2 linked regions of the Ovis aries genome follow. The protein of the gene in region 1 interacts with the protein of each later gene in a pairwise test. Links are inferred from orthologs where the notes say so. Each region holds a gene or a part of one and is shown on either strand. Other genes may lie near its edges.

The links.
Region 2: the proteins of RGS19 (region 1) and GNAZ interact in a two-hybrid assay, tested with the Homo sapiens proteins (2 studies listed by BioGRID). The link is inferred for Ovis aries from reciprocal best matches to the Homo sapiens genes RGS19 and GNAZ.

Annotation. Positions count from the first base shown.
Region 1 is NC_056066.1:53,494,036-53,502,476, reverse strand, and holds the start of RGS19 (regulator of G-protein signaling 19), read right to left. Parts: upstream 5,180-8,441; 5' UTR 4,512-5,179; intron 2,868-4,511; 5' UTR 2,725-2,867; intron 1,988-2,724; 5' UTR 1,911-1,987; coding exon 1,881-1,910; intron 1,674-1,880; coding exon 1,552-1,673; intron 306-1,551; coding exon 231-305; intron 153-230; coding exon 1-152. UniProt on the Homo sapiens protein: Inhibits signal transduction by increasing the GTPase activity of G protein alpha subunits thereby driving them into their inactive GDP-bound form. Binds to G-alpha subfamily 1 members, with the order G(i)a3 > G(i)a1 > G(o)a >> G(z)a/G(i)a2.
Region 2 is NC_056070.1:71,869,400-71,872,899, forward strand, and holds part of GNAZ (guanine nucleotide-binding protein G(z) subunit alpha), read right to left. Parts: intron 942-3,500; coding exon 597-941; 3' UTR 1-596. UniProt on the Homo sapiens protein: Guanine nucleotide-binding proteins (G proteins) are involved as modulators or transducers in various transmembrane signaling systems.

The DNA of each region.
Region 1 (8,441 bases):
CCTCGCAGGCTAGCCAGAAGAGCATGTTCTCCTCGCTGTACTCCGTGCGCAGGAACTCCCGGAATACACTGCGACCCGCTGGGCTGTGCATCAGCTTGTCGAAGGACTGCGCCCAGCTCCGCACCTCTTCCGGGGTCGGCGTCGGCGTGGCGCTGCGGGGGGCATTTGGGCATCAGCCGGCTGCGTCAGGCTCCGCCCCCACCCGCGCAGAACCCCCGGGCCAGACTCACCAGACTTCGCAACTGGGGAGGGGCTGTAGCCTGCTCTCCCGGGAGGCTCGCCAGGCCCGCCGACGTTCTTCGTTCCTGCGGGCAGAGGGGAAGGTGGCACTGCCCTCCAGGCACACGTATGCATGCAGGACACTCCGCACACAGGTGTTAGAACGGGCAGGAGGCCTCGAGGTTCTCAACACACGGATGAACCCGTCGCAGGTGGGTCCGCTTTCCCAGCCTTTGGTCCTGCCCTGGGACATCTTCTTGCCTTCAGGGCTTCACAGGCCCCAGGTGTCTGCCTCCCTCCCTCCCTGGCCTGACCTAGACCCTCGCTGCTTTTTCCTACAGACCCCACTGATGTGGTGAAGGCCCAGCCTGTGTGTCTGACCCCTGACTCTCCCCAGGGGATCTGCTTCCCTCCTTAGCTCTGGGCGCAGCATCGGTGATGGCTTCCAAGTCCACACCTCCAGCCAGACCTCTCACCAGGGTCACTGACACGGTTAAGGACATCTGAGACTCAGGGTTTGGGCAGAACTCAGTTCCCTCCTTACCCCACCTTTTAGATGCGAACTCCTCTCCTGGTCCCTACAGGCAAAGGCTAAGCGGGTCCTAACAGTTCATGGCCTCCCATCCCTAACCCCAGGCAGTTTCTCTGTTTCAGGCCTGGGCTCAGGTCTCAGTTGTTCACTGGTCAGCTGATCCCCACTTGGGTCCCCTCAGCGCTGTCTACTCAACAGCCAAGGACTGAGAACCTGCAAAGGGCCATATGCCTCTGCAATGTACAAAACCGCCAACAGGTTCCCTATGTGCCTAGAAACTAGTTCACCCCCCGAGGCCCAGTGCCTTCCCCCACCCACCAACTGTCCCAGGGCCAGGTCTCTGCTCAAAGCCCCTCCACCTGATGCTGTCTGTAGGACCTGCTTTTGTCTTGTTCTGTTTTAGTTCCCAGGGCCAGTCTGGGCGAGCTTACAGAGACAAGACAGACATACACACCACCCTAGCTTACAGCAGAGATGCACACACATGTGCACGCTAGGTGCCTGCATGTTGCAGTAGACACACACACACCCCTAGTTTAAGTAGACACACATACACAGCTAGCTTACAGTAGATACACACACACACACATGCTTGCACGCCAGGTGCCTGTATGTGGATACCACCTGCACTGACCACTAGTCACCAAGCCCCTGGATAAGTACTGTGGGTGGCAGGGGTACCCTACTTGGAGGTGATGCCTCAAAAGCCTCCTAAGGGCTAAGGACCAGGGTCCTGGATCCTAGGTCTGCTCAGTGTCCACTCCCCACCAGGCATATCAAGCATCCCCAGGCCCACGTACCAAGAGCAGCTGCAACAACAGCACCAGCACAAGCAGCAGGGGTTTCGCCTGGGGGGAGCCGAGGGGGCCGCATCATGACTGGACATCGAGGGGGGCTGGTCCGCCTCCTCTGGCCCTGTTTGCTGGGGGAAGACAGGGCTGCCTCAGCCTCCAGGCAAAGCCCATGGTTACCACCCGCTTTCCAGCCCCAACTGCCCACCGGAGGCCATGCTCCCTCCCAGGGCTATGACCCTTGTGGCCTCCCAGATGTCCATGGGTCTCTGAACTCCTAGTCATGCCCTTAGCCCCCCACCCCCCAAGGGGCAGCGGCCAGGGTGGAGGCAGCCCACCTGCTTCTCAGCCTCAGGTGGGGTGGGCATGGATGGGTGGAGGAGGTTGCCAGGGCTCCGTGGTGCCTATTCCAGGACACCTGTTTCTGTCACCACAGCCTGGGGGTCTGAGAAGAGAGGCCGGGGTTCTCACTGAGAACCTTACACCCGCCCTGGCCGGCACCCTGCCAGGCATTCTGAGTCTCTCCCTACCTGCCTCCCTGGCCTCCCACCTCCACGGACTCTCCTCCGCCTCCCACCTCCCACCTCTAGACTACTCTGCCCAGGCCCAACCCCCACTCTAGTCTACACAGAAGATGTGAGGGGATGGGGATCAGGAAGGAGGAGACCCCAGACAAGCTCTCCACAGGAGGTTCTGGGACACCCCCATCTGCTCCCTCCCTGGGAAGCCGGAAGCAGGGGTTCCTCTTTCTTGGTTTCCGGCTCCTGGCCCCTCCCAGGGGGCTGCAGGCCCCCAGAGTCTGAGTCTGAGTCTGAGGCTCTCAGGGGTGGTGGTAGACATTCAGAACCTCCCTCCCAGGTTTTCCAGGGGATGGGTGGTGGGAGGTGGGGAGGCTGCTTCCCACCAGGAGTTCAGAAGGGCTGCGGGGCCTTGGAGGCCCCCCGCCTACTCCCAGGGACTCCGCAGAGGGAGCAGACCAGGCCTGTGGCACGGAGCACTGGAGTAGGGCTTGGGGCTGAGGCAGGGCGTCCTGAAGGTGCGGGCAGTGCAGCAGGCACAGCCGCCTTCTCAGCCCGGACGCTGGCTCCGCACCCAACCTTCGACTGGCACCTCCGGGTCTCCCAGCCTCCTTTCCCCTCCCCACCCCCAGGCTACGGAAACCGCTGCGGCCCCAGGCCTTGCCGCAGGCGGGCGGTGGCGCGTCTTGCTCCCGGGCGGGTAGGAGCCGCGGGGTCCCTTCCGCTCGGAGCGGCATCGGGGCGAACCTTCCCCTTCTGCAGTGCGGGCGTGCGGAGGGTGCTCAGTCCCACCCGGATGAGCGGCCCCTGTTGGGAACGCAGGGACCGAGGGCGGCCAATCAGGCTCCAGGAGGCAGTTTTGAACGCCTTCCCACCTGCCCTCACCCCACCCCCACCTCGGCCCAGGTGAGGCATCCCGCCCCCTTCCCCGGGGTAGGGGCGGCCCCTGGCGCGTCTGGGGCGCGGACCTTCTGAAACCCCGCCGCGAGAGACTCACGACTTGGTTTCACTTTATTTTCTCATTAAATGAACATTCTCTCAGTTGCTGCCTCCCCCCCCCCCCACGCCCCCCATTCCTCAGCTTTGGCTTTTCAGTGCCTGTTTGGTTCAGTTGGCCTCTTGGGGTCTGCGATGGCAGGAGAGGAAAACGATGTTGCAGGACGGGCCCCAGGACGGTCGCAGGCTGGGCAACCCCGGCGTCCCATCTCCTGGCCAGGTGCTGGTGCCCAGGGATGACAGCCCGAGACATGCACGCTGAGGGCACCCCTGTCTCCAGAGTCTGAGCATGCAGAGGCCCCTGCCCTGACCCGGATCTGGGGGCCAGGTGGAGGGGCCCATGGGGTCTTGGCCCTTGGCTGCCTGCCTGGCTTCCCCTGGAGCATGGGAAGGTGGACCTTCAAGCTTCCAGCAAACAGACAAGATGGGGAAACAGCAGCCCCACAGCTTGCCTTCCCGCAGGGGTCAAGTTTCTAGGGAAAGGAAGGGGTGTGGCAACCTCTGAGGTCTGGTAGCTGTACCCCAGCCGGGCTGTGACTTCCCCAGGCAGAGCGGCTCTTCCTCCTCAGCATCTCCACCCACTGTGAGTGGGGGCAGGGCCCCAATTCCCCCCACCACCACCCCCTAGCTCCCTGAAGATTAAACTCCCTAGGCTGCCTTCTCCAAATCAGCTCTGAACTGGAGGAGGGGACCTGCCTGAGAGTGCTGCGCCCAGGTGCTGGGGGCTGAGTTGTGGCAGAGATGGGGAGAGGCCGCCCCTCTGCCCTGGTTGTAGGCCCTGGACGTTGTCGCCCACCCCTGAACCTGGCTCCCTGCACCATCCCCAGGCCGGCTGGGACCACTTATGCCTCTGGGGCACCTGCTCTCTCTCCTAGTGGGGTTACAGGATCAGAATCAGGGCTCCTGCCCCTCATCCGGGCATGTGGAAGGGGGCTCCTTCCTCTTCCCCAGCCCCATCCAGGCTTTGGCCCCTAAGTCTAGGATGGGAGAAGCTGGACGGGCAGTAAGTCTGGCCTCTGGGGACAGAGGTTCCCTCGGGAGCAGCTGCTGCTCTGCTCCACAGAAGGAAAAAGAACGTCCCCGAGCCCGCCCAGTCCAAAAAAAGAATAAGAAAATGTGACAATCCCAGGAAAAAATGCCATAACCTTTGTGAGGGGGGTTGCCAGAGGGGCTCCATTCTCTTCTCATCCTCCTCAGCACCTTTCCTGTTTGCTTCGCCCCCGGCCCTCCACCACTGGGCTGGTAGGGACGTCCCAGCCTAGCGGCTCCAAGGCAGGCCAATTTTCCTAGCCCTGGTGACCCTCGCCCCAGCCCACCTCTGCAATGGCAGGGGCAACCCACTTCTCTCTCTCCTTCTCTCGGCTAATAGGGTCTGGCCTGGGGAAGTCTGCCCCTTTCTCCGGCCTCTGACGCCCCCACCCTACCCTCAAGGAACTCGCCACGCGCCCCACTCACCAGCGACCCAAAGGCGAGGTGGGGGCGGGAGGGGCCAGGTCGCTCTGGGCCCCACCCTGGCTGCCGAAGGGGCGTGCACTGCAGCAGCAGGACTCAAGTCAGACGGCAGGAGGTCCTCCTGCGCGTTCTGGAGCGAGGCTGGCGCCAGGAGCCCCCGATCAGCTCGGGCCGGGGGCGCAGCGCCTCCCCTCCGACTGGCGGGGATGACTGACTGCCAGATCCAGCGGGGTGGGGGCGGGGGCAGTACGGGTGTCCCGCCTCGGCCCCTCCCCACCAGGCTGAAGGGGGGACGGGAGACGCGGAAACCTGGGTTCTTCCGGCCCCCCCCCCCCACTTTGAGCAATCACTTCCCCAGGCTTTGAGCTGCAGAAAAAGGGGAACCCGCTTGCAACGCCCCCTCCCCCACGCGCGGGGACTGCATCCAGTCCCGCCGCGGCCCAGGGTCCACGTGGACCCCTCGGCGGGAGTCCTTGGGGCGCGGATCTGGGCGCCGGTTACCGAAGCTCCCGCCCCGCACAGCCCACGGGCCCCGGGCCGGAGGGGCAGGGCTGCCGTCCTGGGCGCCGCGCGCGCGCACTCACCGGCCGCGCTCCCGAGCCGCTCGCGCCTCAGCCGCCGGCCCGCGCGTTCCGAGGTCCGGCCGGATCGTCGGGGAGCGGGCGCAGGCTGCAGTGCGCAGGCGCCTCGGCCGCACTTCCCCAAAGCGCGGGGCCGGGACTTCCTCGCGCGGGGAGGTGCCCGGCCCGGCCCGCCCCGCCCGGCGCGCCCCGCCCCGAGCTCTGCCGGCTCCGCGCCCCACCCGCCCCCTCCCCACCGCTCGCGCGCGGCGTCTGGGTCCCCATTGTCGCTGAGTGGCCCGTGGAGATGAGGTGCTGATGCTGGGGCCTCTGGCTCCCGGAGCGGCTGAAGTGGTACTGCGGCAGCTGGGGGTGTGGCCGTGCCTCCAGCTCTTCTCGGCGGGGCCAGTCCAGCGTTGCCGTTACAGGGGTAGGGGGGTGGAAGGGGGCGACTCCGTGGGCTGCTTGCCCCTCTTGAGGAAGGGAGAGGCGGCTGGAAAGGACTGGACCCCGTGGTCACTCCCGAGCCGTCCCTAGGCTCTGGCACGGAGTATCCTTAGCTGTGAAACGCGGTCAAGGGCGTGCTGTCAGTCACCGTGCTGTAGGGCCTTCCCAAGGAAGGCGGTTCCTGGGCTGCGGCGCCACTGGGGCGGGGTGAGGGGTGGGCAATGGTTCTTATATCCGGGGTCGCCAAAGTCCCTGTCCGCGTGGCCGGCTGAGTCCCTTTCAACCCTTCCAGTTGCCCCAAAATGTTCTAAAGTTTAAAGCCACACTCTCCCCTTTGCCAGGAATGCCTGACTCTTCTCTTTGGCCAAATCTCGTATTTTATGACTCGGTACAGATGTGAGTTAAATTCCTTATCCCAGCATGCTTTGGGCCCGTATTTGGACGGCCCCGACCCTGCTCTGAAAGTGGTCTGCAGAGTGTCTGAGTCCCCTGGCCTCAGAGTGTGTACAGCTCATGTCCCTTGGTCCCTGGGCCTGCTCACAAAATGCCTTCCAGTTGCACAAAGTTGTATATGCTCGCGTTTTTCAGCGCTCTTGGGGATATAAAGGGAAGGGGAGAATTTACATACTGTCTTCATCCTGCAAATGTCTGGGTGTTCTCTACATGTCAGCCTTGGGACCTGGCAGTGGGCAGAACAGACCAGCCATAGAGCAGACAAGAAATGGACTTGCAGACTGGGTGAGAGGTGAGGAGGGCTAAGGAGAACCACAGAGCAGAGAGCGGGTGTTTCAGACCTGCATCTTGCTTGGCAAAGGATAAAACTGGAGCCAGCAGAGAGCTGAGCTGAGCTGGAGAGAGTGCAGGCCAAGGCCAGAGAGGAGGGAGAGGCCCCGAAGGCTGGGGGGCCTCTTATGCTGTGTCCTTGGAGGACTTGGCTGTCATGTTGACAGGCTGGTTGGGCTGGAGCAGAGGCCAGAAGCCTACCCAGATGGGAGGTGGCTGCTTCTTATATAGCCTAGATAACTGTCCCAGGAGGTAAGGCCTTCAAAGATGGGCCAACACTTAGTCCAGGCCAAACAGCCATGCTCATGCTGTGATGCTTGACATGGCATCTCCACCTGCATCCTGAGATGTGTGGGGCAGCTGGATGTGGTGGGGGTAGGCGTATGTCTCTCCTGGGGTAACACTGGGGGTGGGATTTGGACCCAGGACCCTCTGTCTAGAGCATGAGCTCCCAGCCCTGGGGACGCCTCGCCTCCCATCCCAATCCCTTATAGCCTCCAGTCATTGGGTTGTGGCTTGCATGCTTTGCTTTCTCGTAGCAGAAGCCTCCTCCAGGCCCTGCAGCAATGTCCTCGGCTACTTTCCCAGTTATTCTCTCCGGACCAAGGCTGCCTTCATGGTGGGGTGATCAAATTTACCCCCATCCCAGCCCCCACCTGGTGCAGAGCTCAAGGTGAAGGGTGGAGCCTTCACCTGGACGGCTCCTCAGGGCTGTGTGCACCTCTCTCGTCCTCTGCCCTTCAGTGCCTGCCTGTTTAGAGTGACCCCTCTCTTACAGAGCACTCACCTGGGGCCGTGATGCCATGTGAGGTCATTAAGGGTTCCTTTTTAAAGATAAAGAAATGGAGGCTCAGAGGAATGATGAAGTAAAATGTGCTTTGACTAAACAGATGAAATCATTCCAGTGCTTGGCGCTTCCCCCAGAGATGGAATGCTGGGGTTCAGATGCAGGGAGCTTAACCAGGGGAGCCAGGGCCAGCTGGCATCTTGCACGTGTCAGCAGGTAAGTGGCTGTTGCTCTGTCCCATGCCCAAGTCACCCTCTCTCCCTTGTTCCTTATTCTCTCTGCCTACCCACCTGTAGAGAGGTCCCTCCTCTCTCCTGGAGCTTCCAGACTTCAGCTCCACACACAGTTCTGGCTTGGATCAAGGCCAAGGGTGCAACAGCTCAGAACTGGCCAAGTGTCCTGTGTGGGGTTAGGGCTTGCTGGGGACACAGAGGGTTCTGGTCCCCATCCTGAGCCCGGTCAGGGAGGGCAGTGGCTGCCATCGAACAGGACTCCTTGCTGACCCCAGCTCTGGCCTCTGTTGGTAGAGGATGCACCCCTCTAAGACCAGTTCTCTGCTGCAGGTTGGTGACTCTGCTGGAGTCTCCTGGCAGGGGATGGCCTTGTGTGAGATCCCCACCTCTGTGATAACCCGCTGGACTGCTGAGAGGGAGGATAAAGGAGAGCTGGCTAAGAGAAATCCCAGGCTCTGCAAAGAGTCTGTGTTGGGGAGAAAAGTAAATTCTTGAAGGGGAAATCTGTCCAGAAACTAAGGATGTTCTTTGGAATCCAGAGGTTTTGCAGGATATGGGTTTGTCAGAGTGGGACGGGGTGGTGTCCTTCCTGTCCTCTGTATGTGTGTGTGTTCCAGTAAGGGGGAATCAAAGGGGCAAAGAGGGACTCTCAGGATGGAAAGGAAAACGGAGGGTGATTTTCTGTCTGGGTGACTCAATGGACATGAATTTGAGCAAACTCATGGAGATGGTGGAGGACAGAGGAGCCTGGCGTGCTTCAGTCCACAGGGTTGCAAAGAGTCTGACATGACTGAGTGACTCTACAAAAAGAAGCAGAGGTCTGCCTTAAGAGATCTCCCCTTCCCCAGTCTCCCTGTCTTCTGAAGACCCTCCTAGACAGAGCTGACTGTCCAAAGGCCAGCGTTGGCTCTTGCCTAAAGGTCAGCGTTGGTTCTTGCAGTCACTCTCCTTCCCAGAACGTCAGCTTCCTCTCTGACCCTCTGATGGAATGGCCTGTGGTCTAGGAGTCTTGCTTTCTCCCTGAGGTTGCCTTCACTTCTGGGGTTGCAACTCTTGCTCAGCCAGGCTCTTCTTCCTGGCACAGCCAGACTGGAGACCCCCACGAATGCACAGAGCACCAGGT
Region 2 (3,500 bases), on another chromosome or scaffold:
AGGAGATTTGCCCCCCACTCCGAAAAACAAAGGATATCAGAGGAAAAAAACCAGGGTTCGGTTTTATAAAACGTCCAACTCGTAGGAGAAAAGCGGGAACCCAGCGGGCCGCGCCACGTGGGTCACCGTGCGGCTTGCTGCGTGTCCCCCAAGCGCGTCTGAAAGGGCGGTGAGTGGCTGGAGGGCCAGTCAGTGCTGTGGCCGGCCTGGTGCCCGGTGCCCGCGTGTGCCGGTGGGGGTGGCATGGCTCCGGCCCTGGGTCTCCTCCCGGGGAGCCGGCCGCCCGGCCCTGTGGTCCCCCCGCGCGGAGCGGGGCCGCGTCGGGAAGGCAGAGTGACTTGGCAGGAGGGTCTGGGGACTGGGGGGCGGACTTGGCGACAGCTCCTCAAGCCTTCACGGACCTCGGCCGGGCGGGGAGCCTGCCCGTCTGCGGGGAGTGTGTGTGTGCGCGTGTGTGTGTGCACGCCCAAGTGTGTCTACCTACCTAGCAACCTATCCGTATACAGTCGTGTTTGCAGAGCCTCGGGGGCTGAGGGGGCGGGCTGGGGACGCGTTCCGCCCCCGCCTTCCGCCCCGGGCTGGGCCCCGCCGGCCCCTCAGCAGAGGCCGATGTACTTGAGGTTGTTCTGGATGATGACGTCGGTCACGGCGTCGAACACGAACTGGATGTTGCTGGTGTCCGTGGCGCAGGTGAAGTGTGAGTAGATCTCCTTTGTCTCCTTGTTGCGGTTCAGGTCCTCGAACTGCCGCTGGATGTAGACGGCGGCCTCCTCGTAGGTGTTCTGGCCGCTGTACTCGGGGAAGCACACGGTCAGCGGGGTGCGGCGGATCTTCTGCGCCAGCAGGTCCTTCTTGTTCAGGAAGAGGATGAGGGACGTGCTGACAAACCAGTTGTTGTTGCAGATGGAGTCGAAGAGGCGCAGGCTCTCGGCCATCCGGCTCTGGGGGGAGGGGCGGGGGCGGTCAGCACAGCCGGGCCCCCCCAGGGGCCGCGGACCCCACGCACCTTCAGGGCTGCCGGCAGGGGAACCCCCCCACCCCCGCCACAGGCCAGCCCCTGCCTCCCACGGAAGACCGTCCATGCCACAGCCCCCTGCAGCGAGCATGTGGTCAGCCCTGCCTGCCGAGGGTGGGCCGGTAGGGAGCCTCCATCCCGCCAGGCGTCAGGCCTCACAGAGTCTCAACGTGCAGGAGGCCTCTGTTCCTAAAAGGTGCCAGGGCGGAGCTGGGCCAGCCCAGCCCCTGGTGGCTGAGTGCTCACCTGGTGCCCCACACACAGGAGCCCTCCGCCGCCCCCGAGGAGGTGAGGACGGCCCCCCGGAGCCCCCGTGACTGCAGTGTGGCCCAGGGGGCCCCTTCCACCCCCCCAAGAGAACCAAGGATATGCGTGCAGCCTGCGGGCTCTGGAGGAGCCCAGGGCCTTCACCTGCTCCCCCCTGCCCCCCACAACTGATCTCCTTGCTCCTAAAGGGACACCTGCGGGTGGCGAGCTGCCCTGTGTTTTAAGATGCACAAGGTGAGTGTCCCAAGGGCAGGGCCAGTCTAGAGCTGAGCTGTTGGGTGAAGGACTGTTCTGAGCATGCGCAATGAACAGGGATGCCCTGCTGACCGCCCTCGACCTTATCATCCCCATTCTGCGGATGAAGAAACCGAGGCCGGGAGGGGCCAGAAATGTTCTCCAAGGCCCCCGGGCTCGCTGACCCTCCGGGGCAGTGTGCAGAGCTGCTGGCCCCAGGGTGGGGGTGCCCGGGGCCGCCCTCATCTCCCAGAGGCCTGGCCCTCTCGGACGTACAGGGTCCGATGGTATCAGGGCTGACAAGGCACCCCTCCCCGCCACCCCCTCACCACGGAGACATAGACTCCAGGCCTTGCGCTCCACCTGGGAGGCTGGTCTCCCAAACCCTTCCTGTGCTTTTGTTAGAAAGAGCCTGGTCTCAGGTCTTGGGGAGGGTGTGTGTTGGGGGGGTGATCGTGTGTGTGTGTTGGGGGTGATCGTGTGTTGGGGGGTGATCGTGTGTGTTGGGGGGTGATTGTGTGTTGGGGGTGATCGTGTGTTGGGGGGTGATCGTGTGTGTTGAGGGGTGATCGTGTGTTGGGGGTGACCGTGTGTGTGTTGGGGGTGATTGTGTGTGTTGGGGGGGTGATCCTTCCCCAGACAGAAGCAGGATGCCAGCCCCCAGCATGTCTGAGATCAGGATGGAGTCGCCCTCCCCGTAGCTGGTGGTCCAGGAACACCGCCTGCCACTGGGTGGCAACGAACGCTAATGGGTTCCCGGAAGCCGCGTGGAAAGGACCAGTGGCGGAGCTGTCTGTCATTTCACGGGAATGATGTCTTAATCAGGGTGCTCCCGACCCCAGATCTCACACGTACAATAAACAACAGATGCGGCCAGGGGCACGTATTCACCAATCACCGAGCACACACTTGCCGAGCACGTCTCTGGTTGCGGGCGGGTGCCGGAGCCCAGAGACCGGAGGCCGAGCGGCCAGGGGGCCCTGCGTGTGGCGGGGCTCCAGGGTGGCTGGGCCAGCGCGGGGTGGGGGCAACAGCTGTTGGGATGTCCAGGCATCTGGGCCCTGCTGGGTCACCGGGGTGGGGGGAGACAGGCGGCTCCTGCGTCCAGCCCGCCTGCCGAGGGGTCACTTGGGGCTCTGCTGGTCCGCCCTGCAGTGGTGGGGGGTGGGAACCCGTTGACAGGAGTGCGGTCTGACCAGCCCTGGGCAGGAGGGAACGGGGGCCCGCCCACCCCCACAGGGAGGGTACCTCCCTGGCCAGCTCGCGGGGTCTCTGGCCTCTGGGGGGGAGGCGGAGTGGACATGGAGGGCCAGGGCGTGTGGGCCACTGGCCACCTGTCTGTGGGGGCCCCCAGCACCTCCTCCCACCCCGACAGCCCCTCCAGGGGCCCCGGAAAGCCCGGCCCGTCAGCATCCCCACACCCTCTGCCACTCAAGCTGGCTCCCCTCACACCTCCCCCGCCTCCCTGGGCAGCCAGCATCCTGCTCTGCCAGCCTCCAGCTGTGTGTCAGGCCCGCTGCTCCCCCGGCAAAGGGGGCTCTGTCGGCCGCCCTCCTCCAGAGGTTGGAGGCAGAACGGGACCCCCATGGGAAGCTGAGAGGCCCCGTGCTGGGCACCAGGGCCCGCAGCAGCCATCATGTGCTGACTTGGAGACACAAGGCCAGATGTCCTGGGGCGGGGGGGGGGGGGCACCTGGTGGCCAGGAGGCGGCCCGGCGCTCGCTCGGCTCCTTGGAGCCCAGCATGAGGTCCTGGCCCAGGAGGGCCCCGGGTTGCCTGCTGCAGGACCAGGCTGGGGTGTTTGTTCTCAGGAGCCGTGAACCCAGCTTTTCAGGCGGGGAGGCTGGGCTGCAGGCGTGAATGAGCTCCATTCACCACAGTGCCAGGCACCGAGGGCGCCGAGGGCGGGGGCTGCCAGCGGGGACGCCTGGCGGCACCTGGCTCAGTGGGCTGAACGGGGAGGGTCCATCCAGGGCTGGATGTCG